Linked DNA regions of Schizosaccharomyces pombe. Changing the gene in region 2 together with the main gene of any one other region gives a genetic interaction. Each region holds a gene or a part of one and is shown on either strand. Other genes may lie near its edges.

Region 1 (5,286 bases), on a different chromosome or scaffold from region 2:
AACAAAATACTCGGGGACGAAAGTACAAACCCGTACCGAACTTGGCTATCCACAGAGCTTCCGTTTGAATCGTTTCTTCGAGCTTCCCAGGCTTGAAAACTCCTTTACTTTAAACAATACACTAGTTCCTTAATAAGGATACAGTGTTTGACAGATTGTCGTCAAAAAACACTTAAGAATTCGATTAGTTGTTAAGTGGAAAAGTTAGCTCCGACGGGCCCCATAAAGGCTGAAGTCAGTCGAACCTAGGCGAACACTATTGACCCTTACCGAAACGGTATTTTTGCCTTATACTATTTAACGAATGAAAAAGGCTCCGATTGATACTTGGTTGAAACTGCGAATAGTGCGATGTTGGGTATCACTATTGACCGATATTGCCTGTTAAAATGACCTAAACGTTACTTTACATAACTCCTTATACTGTATTACACGTGTTATATATTAAACGCTAACTGATTTTACGATTATCTTCTTTAAATAGCAATAATAACTCTGTACACTGCGATATCACCGTTTTGTAGAACTTCTTTAGCTGCAGTATGCCCATAGCAGCAACTTACATATTCAATTGCTCCTGTAGTGAGAATAATTATTCTGTCTATTTAAATGAAGTTTATATCTTAAAATAAAAGATAGTTATCTTTCTGGATTTCCGGTTTATCTCTTGAATGGAAAGACACCATGTCGAAGTACCCACGGTTAATTTTTTACTTCACATCAATATGTACAAATCGCTAATTTGAATATGATGCTTAACCTAGAATAGTATATATTTATATATATATATATATAAATTGGAGTATTATCTCAAGTAAATAAGACACAGCTGATTAGTTTCTCGGTTTGACCAGTCACCCTGGTTTTCTAACCTAAACCACTTCTGCTAACTTTAACAATAGCACGTAAACTATCTTTGGAACCTTCATTTTCGGGATGACCAAGTCCTTTACCTGCATACCATCCTAACTTTTCGAGCAACCGACGACCTGGATTTTCTTTGCTAATTTCAGGGGCATCTTCTCCAACAATTTGGCCATCATATACACGTGTGGCTTTACTCGACCTCACAGAGGAAACAGTCATTCGAGATTTCCTACCAGATTTGGAAAATGACTGATACTCAACCCTGGTCTGTAAACGCTCCATAATCCTGGTAAGTGAAACCAAATCCACACTAGATGCATCAAATTTATGAGTTTTGGAAAGCATAGTATACCGCTTGTTTCCAGATCCATAACTTCTCGACTTCAAGTTCAAATCGTTGGCAAGCGCATGAACCAATCGACGAACATATTTTCTGCATGGAGGAAGGGAAATTTCTTCAATGGCCGAGTGCTTAAACTGTTGCATCCGTTGATAAACATCATTTATAAATATCTTATCAATTCGTGTAAGACTAGCATTGTCAGAATCGGAAGAAGACGGCTTCTGGCTTTCGCGCAAAAGTTTCTTTTTGCTTTTCTTTCCAAGTAGCCCCTCAGAGCGGAGTTTCTCCCTTTCCGCTCGTCTTCTTGCCTTTTTGCTTTTATCTTTAAGCCATTGTTCTTGCAATTCAGCGTACAAGTTCATGCTCTCATCGTCCAAAGAATTGGAAAAGGCATCTCCCATTCTAGCGGCCACAGCCTTTCCTGCCTTTCTCTCTAATTTCTTTTGAGCTTTACGCATTTTTTTAGGAAGTTTGCGATCTTTTTTCAAACCTTTTTCTTCTTTTACCTTCGCCCCTTTTTTGCTTTGAGAAACTTTTTCCGTTTTTTGAGTTGAGGGGTTATTGTACTCTTCATCCTCACTGTCATAATCATAAATAGTAAAATCATTTTGCAAAGTATCTCCAATACTAAGGTATGCCTCAATCTCGGAATCATCACTAGCATCAAAAATTGCCAAAAGCTCTTCTTCATCTTCATCTTCATCTTCTTCCAAAATATCATCTTCATCTTCGGCTAATGAATCTGTATTTCCCACAAGTTCCGTCGTTAACTTAGCATAATCATAGTCATCTGATCCCTCATCAAATTCTAAAGATTCCGAATCTTCAAGTGAAAAATTTACTTTACCCTCTGTCTCATCGTAATTTGATATTTCAGGTTTTTCTTTCTCCTCTTCCTCCTCTTCTTTCTCTCCTTCTAGCTCTTCATCTTCGTCCTCATCATCATCATCTTCTTCTAAAACGGAGAGGTCGGCAAACTTGTTCATAGTAAACGTAGTCATTTTATCGGTGGTGTCATCAATATCAAACTCGTCTTCATTTTCGGTACTCAACTGCTCCTGTGCCTGAGCCAAAGGCGGTGGAGGTGCAGCGTTATTGTTAGCAATATCATCATTGACCAAGTTTGGAACATTTAGTATGTCTAAAGAGTCATCATTATCTTTAGAATATAACTCCTTCTCAGATTCTTGTTCTTTGTAACACAACTGCTCACTTTCTTCTGTAGATGAAATTTCCTTATCACTTGGTGCAAGATTTAAAGAATGCTGAATCAAAACATTTTCGTTCATGCTTTTCTCAGGAAAACTTGAAACTTCTACATTCTTGGTGGTATCAAACGCTTCCGCATATTCCGGAATTTTCTTTACTTTCAATGTATCACCTTTCGAAGTAATTGCTTTAAATAACACAATGTCCAACGCCTTTATTTCACCGGTTTTTGATAAATCTTCGCAGGACTTAACGTTGGTTTCCTTGGGAAGCATAATCTCTTTGCTTTGGTGCTTAGCTTCATTGTGGGCATTTTGTTCATCGATTAATTGACACAATTCTTCCGCCGGGTTGTAATTGTCCTTAGCACGTATAAAGGTAATTCGGGGCCATTGTGAAATTCGACTACTAGGGTTTAAACCAAAAGGGCTTTTAGAATTATTGGATCCCTTAAATCTTCGGATTCGTGTATCACCACGAAACCTGGCAGAAGTTTGTAACTGATCTAAAATCTGTAGATCATCAAAATTTGACATTGAGGGATACAAGTCAAAAAATATGATAAAAAAAATAATATATAATTGTTTTAATAAATAATGATGGTGAAATCCTAAATTGTGAGGTGCGTAAACCAAATGGTGGTAGTAGGATGGAGTCTTGGGGGAAAGTGCTTCATATAGTACACTAAACGATTTTGCCACGGTATTAAATACAAATTTCTAAATATTCAATTTACAATTTAACTATTAATTTCAAGTATACACGTCTATTTAAACTGAAGTTGAGGAGATTCATACATTGACCGACTCAAAGTTGAATATGAATTAACCGACAGTAGCTCATCATGTAATTATAAGTTATAAATTTTTGTATAAAACATATAAAACAGCCAAATAACTATAATGTAAATAGTGCAAGAAATAGAATGTTAGAATATAGAACGCTATACTAATGCAGTTTCTTTTACGTCCCTCGAGAGCAACGACAGGGGAAACGATTTGTTCTTGAAACAGGGAGCAATGTAAAAATACATAGAATTACTTTATAATGAAAAAAATTCCTTTTTATTTTAAAAGTATAAAAGAGAAGCGTCGAATAGGGAACGAGATGACAAATTCTGCATATGATGAGAACGGTAAGGAATTTGAAGTTGAACACATACACAAAAGTGTATTCAGAAAAAGGAATAAATAATGTAATACGCTCAAAAAAAAGAAAGTAATAGAAATTTTTCTTAAGAATTTCAAACTTAGACAACGAAAAATAACAGTGAGTGCAGATATATGTATAAGTAGCGAGCGAACCGAATATTAAATACAAAAAAACAGCTATACCTTGGTACGTTTTTGAGCGTTCAGCATATCAGAAGAATAGAAGTTAGGATTATTGTTGGGATTTTCACCTTCAACCATTGGGGAATGGGTACCTTGGCGTTTAATCCCCTGAAGACTATAGGGCGGAACAGAGGCAATCGGCATGGATTGAGGAAGAATTGATGGATCCATATTGGGGATATTATTTTGGTCCAAAAGACGATTAGCTTGACTAATTGCATTAGCAGGCATAGTGGGAGGTTGCTTGGCATAACGATAATTAGAGGCAAGACTAGCAACATCACCATTCCTAGGCGAGCCATTAAACCCCGAGGGGGCTGGATTTGCATATGGAATATTAGAGGAAGTAGACTTTTGCATTTGATGCTGTTGTTGTAAAGCTGTAGCAAATTTATGTAAAGCGCTAGTCGGACCCGATCGCTGAGCAAGAGTGAAGGCTATGAGATCGCGCATTCCCGAAATTGTTTCAGTAATTTCCATGAACCGCATGATGTGCGGTTCCAATCCATATTCGTTGACGGGTGAATCCGGCAAAAGAGAAGAAGATGAGTTAATATTTACACTTTCGGATGACGGATCCTCACTTTTTACCCCATCGTGTTGTATTTGATTTTGAGGAGGCCGCGACTGCGAAAGGGCTAGGGAAGCGTTTGTCATTAACTCGCGCAAAAGATACTCGGAATGTCCGACAGCTGAAAACTCTAAAGAGTCTAATTTTAACAAAGGAGCACGAAAGAAATGAGCCCGCAAGTGCCCCGATACAATTACCTGTACACCGCCTTGATACTGATATAAAATGCTTGCCCTTGACGATTCCACAAAATACCCATTGTTTGGAATGGCAAATTCCTTTGTATTTCCCAAAAGGAACGACATCTTTTTAAGTTTGCCGCAATAACTCAGATATAAGAAGCGCGGAAGTGCTGCATACGATAATTCAAACAATTTCGGCTCCTGGTTTGGCGAATCTTTGTAGTCGATGTTATAGCGAAATGTTCCCTTTTCAGTATAAAAATCATGCACAAATCGTCTCCAATACCCAATATCATCTTTCATGGTACTTTCCCATCCTGACATTAACTGTTCATTATATTGTAATAATCGCAAAACACCGTATCCTAGTATATTCGAGCCATTATGATACATCATGGACGCATAGTTTGCAACCATAGCTGCGAAATTTACAAGAAAGCCACCAGCGCTGCAGAATTGGATTTGTTCAAAGTGCAAAGCGCTTGTGAAACATTAACGGCCGGAGCCCGCCATGCATGGTTAACCCTTTAAGTGAATTAGAGATTGGCACGCTACGTTAAAGACATTTAGAAAATGTGATGCGCTGTGTTATTACAAACGGCTTGTATTTGGGTGAAGATAGCATCTTTCAAACGCCTGAATTTGTGATATAAATTAACATTTTACAAATTAAAATATAGAATAAAAAATTCCTTCGTAATTTACCTTGTTCCCATTTTTTACACTGATTTCGAGTATCAATATTAATGAGATCAACGCCAGTTTTCCGTATGCCCTTTA
Region 2 (7,987 bases):
AGGATTTTTGCTTTTTATATTTATATAATTTTTTCATCTTAAAACTACTAGTATTCATTTTATGATATTTTTTGGTAAACTTTCTATGTTGTTTGGGTTTGATTATAAAAGCCATACAGCCCATTTATCCTTTAAATGAATCCCGATCTAAATAATCATCTATACGGTCAGCTATGCGATTGATATCTTCTGTCGCTCCGCCAAATTGGAAATCGCTTTCAGCAGTTCCAAATCCTGCTTCGATGTCAAATGAAGTTCGGTCGTTATTTGAATGTAAAGAATGAGATCCACGAAGAAGGACTTCTTTGAGAGAAGGTGATCTTCGAGGTTCATTATCAGTTGGTACCTTCAAATGATCTTCCACGCTATGGTTATCATCACCTTCACCCGAAGCGATTGTCGGTACAGTCGATTCAACGATGGAGAAACTGCGATCACTAACTGAAGGTGTTCTAGTTGACATTAAAAGTTGCTCTGGATCAGCATTATGTTGGCGAAGGACTTCTTGAATGGGTGTTTCGGGTAAAATCTCAGAAACTTCACTCAAAAGTATGAAAGGATTTTCTAAAGCTTTCTTCTTTTCTTCCATATGTTGAAGGAATGTTTTTCTGATGATTGAAGTTTCAACCAAACCCAACAACTTTTCCATTCTAATAGATTTTTCCAATTCCGAAAGTACGTACGCTCGGCGAATGTAGTCAGAAATAGGAAATGCTTCACGATGATCAACAATTTTATGAAGTACAACTAACATCAATATATTCGAAAAAGAAATGACGTTGCCCGGTAGTGTCATAATCTCTGTACAGAGAGAATTCAGTACGTTTCTTCGCTCTTTCACTACGTTTACATCAATAGTATCAATAATTTGGTCTAGCGCCTCTAAGTTTATTTCAGAACCCATCAAGGGATTTTCGAGCATTGGGACAGATTGCTGCCCAGTTTTACTCTGAACTTTGGAGATAATGCTTCTCAATGTATGTTCATCTCGATATATTCTGAAATCATAGACACCCCTTAGCGAAAGAACAAATTTTACAGCATTGCGTTTGGGAATATAACCGGTGACCATGGGGTCAAAAGGTGCCCATGAATCCTTAAATTGTCGGAAATCGTTACGCTGCAAATTTGTAAACGAGGAAGATTTAGTATGGATGTAGGAAAAGTTGTCGAAAACAACAGTAATAAACATATTAACAAAAATGTACATTGAGATAATATTCCAAGCAATAAACAATCCATAAGCCCACGGTTTGTTACCGCAGTCTGAATTGTAGAAATCGTCACCATTCACACAATTAGGATATGATATAGTATAATCATGCATTACATCGTTCCAGCCTTCTCCAAAGGTCATCGTAAAAAGCAAAACAAGAGCATTGCGTATTGACCTAAAGTTTTTGTTAGGCCCTCCATTCAACCCAAGCTTGGTCAACCCGAAAATCTGATTAAACGCTATAGCAAAGGTAATGTATAAAACAATCCATGTCGCAATCAATGAAAAAATAGAAGGTAAGCTTGCAACCACAGTTTTAGAAAGCTGATCAAAATTGTCAAACTTCGGAATTAGATGCACAGTAACTAACACCAATAAAGTAGTTTGCAGGAGTGTTAACGACCTATTTTCAAACTTTGCAAGGATAGCAATATTGCAAGTGAGACTTCCTAATGTTACAACGACATCAAACATATTCCAAAAACTGTGAAAAAAATAGTAGAATGAAAGACCGTAAACTTTGACACATATGTTTATCGTATAACATATTGACAGTATTAGAAATATAGAGTTTCGAACATAAGTGTACGCTATAGGACAAGGATAAAAAATGGTTAGAAGGAACAAGAGATGCACAATATACAACCCAGTAAATGTCCTTCTCCATATGCCATGTTTTTGCACTGCAAAGTCGTAACAAAGTCCTCTTAAACCCAGAGGTCTAATGGCCGGCCTTTTCGACGGACGCATTGATTTTATCTTCCTGCGCAGTTCCAACCACGCGCGCTGTTCCGCAGTAAAGAAAGCCGACCCTGTACGTTCAGCATAATTGCTGATGATGATGGCAATAAAAAGAGTCAATATATAAATCATTGAAACAAGGTTGAACAACACAAAGAACATAGCATTACCAGAAGAGGCATTGGTCTGGGGTTGATTATTGAATCCAGTAATGTCCATTACCGAACGCATAATGTCTACCCATCCTTCAATTGAGGCGATTTCGAACAAAGCGAGTAGAGCATGAGGAAATCTATCAAAATCGTAATCAGGGGGATTGGACCAGACTCTTGGTGCCCAAACCTCCCAATTATTAGGAGTGGATGCGTATTCTAAAACACACTGAGAAGCTGATAAAACGTTGTCATCATTACAACTGTATAATAATCCACCAAAAACGTTTTTAGCCCACAGAGCAAAAGGAATTAGCAACGTTGCCGACACAACGGCGGCAGAAAATATTTTAAAAAAACCACTAATTAGGGCGTCATGAAACATCCGCTGTGAAGTTTGTGTAAGATTGATTAATCGAAGCACACGAAGCGCTTTGAATGCTCGAAAGGCTCGGGAAAGCAAGGCATGGCTTGTTAATACTGCATAAAGATTGATCCATAAGGTAACCAAAACGAAAAAGTCGATGCAATTCCAAGTACTTCGAAGGTATGCATTTGGTGTAATACAAAATCCATCAGCTATTATTTTTATAGCGGCTTCAATTGTAAAAATAGTTGCAAAAGCTACCTCTGTCCATACAAACCATGCATGTTGTTTATCATTCAATAAATGGTCTCGCTCATAAATAGGTGTAGCAATGCATTCAATAATCACTGCAGTTAGAATACAAGCATAAATAAAAACTTGTATTACACGGTAAACCCATTGATATGGCTCAACACCGCCATATCGTTCATTCACACCGGGCATTACCAGTCGTTGACAAAACCTCCTAATTCTATTCGACGGTTTAATGACCCAAAACACATCATTATACTTTGGGTGATTCTTTAAAAATTCGGTCTGCTTAATTCGGACAAATGCTTTAGCAGCTTGCATATCTTTCGCTGCAGTCTTGAGATTCATATCCTTTTCCCAGCGTATACCGATAACACGTTTGAAGTATGCTTGAGAAAAAGGGTCATCACGCATAACAAATCTCTTAAAGTTATTTGACAGCTTTGCCAGTGAATATTTAGATAACTCGGGTGAGGTATCCAAACTCGGTTTAAGTGGCTCTTTAGGAGGAATATTAGTAACACGCAAAAAGCCTTTAATAATATTGTCTTCATATAACCACTCATAATGAGATTCATCCACTGTCTTCCCTTTTCGAGATCCATTCCTTTTAATTAAGGCATTCAAAGTAAGGGAAGCTTGAAAAGGATTATAGTTCCTTAATAACCTAGCTAAGTACATTTTCAATTGTTCCATTTTTAGATCAGATTCTGAAGGTGCAAAGTTTACCTGAATGACAGCAATAAACATACTTAAAACCACGTTGTTTGAAAAGAGAAACCAAAGAGTAAAAAAAGCTCCAGGAATCCACGATAAGTGAAGATGTGCTAATCGAGCTTGGATTGCAAACATCACATCCGTCCAATTCTCACTTGTCAAAATCTGGTACATGTATAAAAACGATTCGTAAGTAGTAGCGAAGCTAATCGCATCATCGTCTGAATCTCCGTCATTGGGCAAATCTTGAAACAACCTGACAGCGCACAAAGATGCAATGAATAAGACGATTACCAAAAATAGCATCAAATTTAGCAGTTGTTTAAAATTTGAGAACAAGAGTTTAGCAATTTTCCGTGTATAGGGAATCAAAAGAATGCATCGGTATATCCTAGCAATAGCAAATATTGACAACCAACCAAAAGCTACAGGATTTTTTCTAATACTCGGTAATAAAGTAACCAAATTCAAAACGGCCAAGACAATATCAACCAAATTTGTATACCGTCGAAAAAAAAGCCTATAATCTGGCAAGTATGCAAAAAATCTAAGAATCACTTCTGCAGCCAGTAGAAAGTCCACACAAGCGTAAAAGATTAGGTACCTATTTGCAGTGCTAGAAGTTTGATCATATGTTTGAGTACAAAGAGTTACAAACTGGGCTACTATAAAACTTATCCAAATAAAGTTCGAGTAAAATAGGTACTTCTCACATAACTTATTTCGAATGAGATGTTTATCAACAGATTTTTGTTCTTTTTGATTCTTTCCGGAATGCTGCAAGTCAATAAAAGAACTCGTTACCACTGCAATCACAAGGGACATGAGCCAGAGTGTAAGAAAATATGCAGATATTATGAAAAGGAGACAAGAAACAAAATATTCTGCATCCATGATATCGTACATAATATCCGTGAACCCATTGGAACTCATTATAACAAATATCAATTCCAAAGAATTGAAAAAATTGTCAAAGCTAACAGTGTTACTGTAGGGGTTTTCCACCACGCGACAAACACTTTTTTCAGCACAGATAAAACCTCTGGGGTTCACGTTGGATGGAAATCCATTTTTATCTAAGTAAGCCCTTTTTATACCATTCTCCCAATGACCACCACAAAATTGACCAGTAGGTAAATACTGGTCCCCGTAATCACCAAGCCATACGCATTGACGATTCAGTGATGCCTTAAAAAATTGAACACCCAATATAGCTATCATTACCCCAAAGAAAGCATTAAACGAGACGACTTGTACTAAAGGTGTAGACGACTCTTTTAAACTTTTTAGGATGGTTTCAGTTTTTCGAGTTATATTCAACAGCCGAGTTAGGCGCAAACAAGCAATCATACTAAAAAGCCGAAAAATACCTTGCTGTTTTTTACCAATTACAGAGATCCATAAAGCAACAATAGCCACAAAATCGACACGATTCCATGAATGTCGCAAATAAGACATTGTTCTGGGAGTTTTCTTGGTATACGAGTTTATGAAATCATAAAATGAAGAGGAACCATCATATAAAAAACCAAATAAATAGATTTTGAGCAACATCTCTAACGTATATAAGATACCGATTACAATAATTAAATAATCGATAGTTTGAGACTTATCATGAGGGTCATCAGAACGAATCATTAGTAAAACCGCATGTAGCACAATTACAACAAAAATAAAGATATTGTATAAAGGGTGATTATAAATTTGGCGGAGAATTGGGGAAAATGGCAAGTTTCTTCCGGGTGTTTCATTAGCTCTTGGAGGGCCAACAACTCTCAAAACCGCAGCGTAAATTTCGGAAAAAAAATGAGTAAAATAAGGAGATAGTTTATCAAACAAGAAAGGTTTTCTAAATCTCCTTAGACTGGTGTAATCTCCCTTGGTAGTTTTATCTCCATTCAGAAGACCTTTATCTAGTGTTTCTGAGTACCTAGAAACAGTAGGATAGGCCAATTGAAGTTCAGACAAGATTTTGTCCTGCTCATCAACAGTTTCGGTTATGCCAAGGTTATGAAATTCGACACCGTCGCTGGTCATGGAAATCGTATCTTCATCATCTGCAACATTATACTCAAATGGGTTAACATTATCCAAATAGGAATCATCATGGGAATCAAAAGAATCGTTTACGAATGGATTTTTTTTATTTATGTAGGAAGAGGTATCTTTAGGATTATCTTTAAGGGGAATGAAATCGGTATTATCAGGGCTAGAGCTTGGATCTGAGTTTGAGCTTGATGACATTACACTTCTTAATTTTTTTTAAATGATGAAAAAAGACTGAAGGAATGTAGAAAACGTCGAAAACCAGAACCTCTTAAGAGTCAAGGAGCTTCTCTAACACGGGAAATGCAAAAAAAAGGAATAGATATAGTGCAACAAGATTTAATTATAAAACGTAACGAATAGAATAAATATTTAAAGTCAAAATAACGATTGAAATAAGGAAAAAGGACTAACAGGAGGATGTAGTTCATAAACCGTTCAAAGAGAGACAAATGTAAAGAAAAGAGTCCAATTGCCAGCGTTCATGAGATATGGAAAACGACAATGTATGCTAAAGTAAAGTATATTAATAAATGACGAAAATGAATGCAAGTTTAAATTGTAAAGAAACAGTGAGGTGTAAAAATGCCGCCGACACAAATTTTCGAGTTGTTGCCCGGAACTCAAATTGTACGAATGCTTCAATAGTTTTAGTTTCACACTTTTTATATTCAAAAAAATAGACAAAAGGAATAAATAAAACTTTCAAATCTACGTTTTCTCAAGGTGCTTGCTTAACCCAATGTTGGTAGTCCGCTGGAGAGGATTGTTCCCAAACCTGGCAATATGGACAGCACTGGGAATAGTAGGAATGGTCGACCCGTATGGTTGGTACGGAACCGCGAAGACAGGGAAGATGAAAAATTAAAACTCTGGGTTAATTTTAAATGTGATTTTAGTTTGCAAGTATGTATAGGATAATTGATAAACACATTCAATACTTAAATAAACTATTAGTTTAAGCAATATATAGATAGTTTTTTTAATAAACAGATATTTTTTCTTCCTATTGAATACAAAATTTATTTCTTCCTTCCAAACTTCTTTATCTCACATCTATTACTTAATGAAATGCTTTATTTTCGATAGGTTTTGTAACGAAAGCAAGAAATTACGATAGTAACAAATTTTCGCAAACGATATAAACGTCTAGCAAATAAATTAATTCAATGGTAATAGAATTATGGTATGTCCAACAAGATGAAATAATTGAAGCGGATAACAAATAAGATGTACTCTAATTGAATAATCTCGAAATCGACATCAATGAAGGGTAGAAGAAAAAATACCAACTATTATAACTTATACCAAATTTGTATAGAAAAATTATGAAAAATAGCGAAAAGATATGCTTCATCATGAAAAAAATTCAAGAATGAAAGAAACATATGTAAAAGACTAATCGTAAAGCATCAAATTGAAACCTCAACAAGTCTTCAATATCCATAACGGACATAAAAAGGAATGAGACAGTGCTGATAAGAAGGGTGAAAAAATCAAATTAAACAGCTGAATTTGTACAGCAAACTAAGGGTCAAATAAGCAGGATTAAAAGAAAATACCGAGGAGAATCGTATGTCTCAAAAAATAGAAAAGAAAATGAAAAATGATAATTAAAACAAACAAAGAGTTCAAAGAAAAAGCCTTTGGCTGAACACAAAGAAGCAACAACGCGAAAATCACATTCACGATACAACCATCAGACCAAAAACTACTTTTCTTTTTAGAAAAAAAAAAGTTTTCATAAATTGTACAGTTAGCTCTAAAACATCGCTAGAAATAAAAGGAAGGATCGGTTTTCAAAGGAAGAGAAATAAAAGCTTACATAGCTTGAATGATCATACCAGAAGTCCAACCCTGTTGGGATAAACTTTTTTTAAATTGAAGGACGCGTCCAAGGAAAAAAAATCTTTGGACATTTTCAAGTCCTACTTCTTCTAATTGGGACTTGGCATGAGAAAAAGGAAGATTGGGATTAATCTGAATCGAGTAATCTTTGTCATCCTTACTGTAACGGATTAAGACGGTTTCCAAAGACGAATCCAATTCCGCATCCTTTAGCGATGCTATGGATTTTGTGGTGGTATCATGCTCCTCTGGGGATTTTGTAGGGTCGTTGCTACTTATCATGTTATCATCCTCATCGTCGAGTGAATCTTTTCGTTCTGCAAAAGCACGAGGGATACGAGCCACAATTTTAGGAATTTCATAAAAAGTGCCTTTTGAATCGTATACACCCTTACTAATATCGTTTTCTGGAATCGTCAAATCCGCCGCCAATGCCATTTCGGTAGCCGCTTCAGCATTTCCTTCGTACAATAAAGTCACTACTTTGTGCAAAACATCCCATATTTCTTTTGAGCCACCATAAGCCCAGCAGGTTTCCCAAAACTCATTTCGACGTACCTCGACTTCTTCTTTTGTCAGCAGAGGATTGGGTGTGTACAGTTTGGGCAATCGCAAAATATTGCTACCAGATGGCTGCTCACCGCCATT

What was found.
Region 1: mutations in cch1 (region 2) and sqs1 together harm fitness more than expected from each alone (negative genetic interaction), as found in Schizosaccharomyces pombe (one large-scale study listed by BioGRID).

The regions. Positions count from the first base shown.
Region 1 is NC_003423.3:1,301,074-1,306,359, forward strand, and holds sqs1 (G-patch and R3H domain-containing protein), read right to left. Parts: upstream 3,063-5,286; 5' UTR 2,956-3,062; coding exon 868-2,955; 3' UTR 524-867; downstream 1-523. Other genes in the region: ldb1 (LIM domain binding protein), read right to left, coding at 3,748-4,923.
Region 2 is NC_003424.3:2,724,421-2,732,407, reverse strand, and holds the start of cch1 (plasma membrane calcium ion import channel Cch1), read right to left. Parts: upstream 6,250-7,987; 5' UTR 5,690-6,249; coding exon 125-5,689; 3' UTR 1-124. Other genes in the region: SPOM_SPAPB2B4.07 (ubiquitin UBTD1 family protein), read right to left, coding at 7,313-7,987. UniProt on the Schizosaccharomyces pombe protein: Voltage-gated, high-affinity calcium channel that functions together with yam8 to mediate calcium entry into cells. Required during conditions of environmental stress.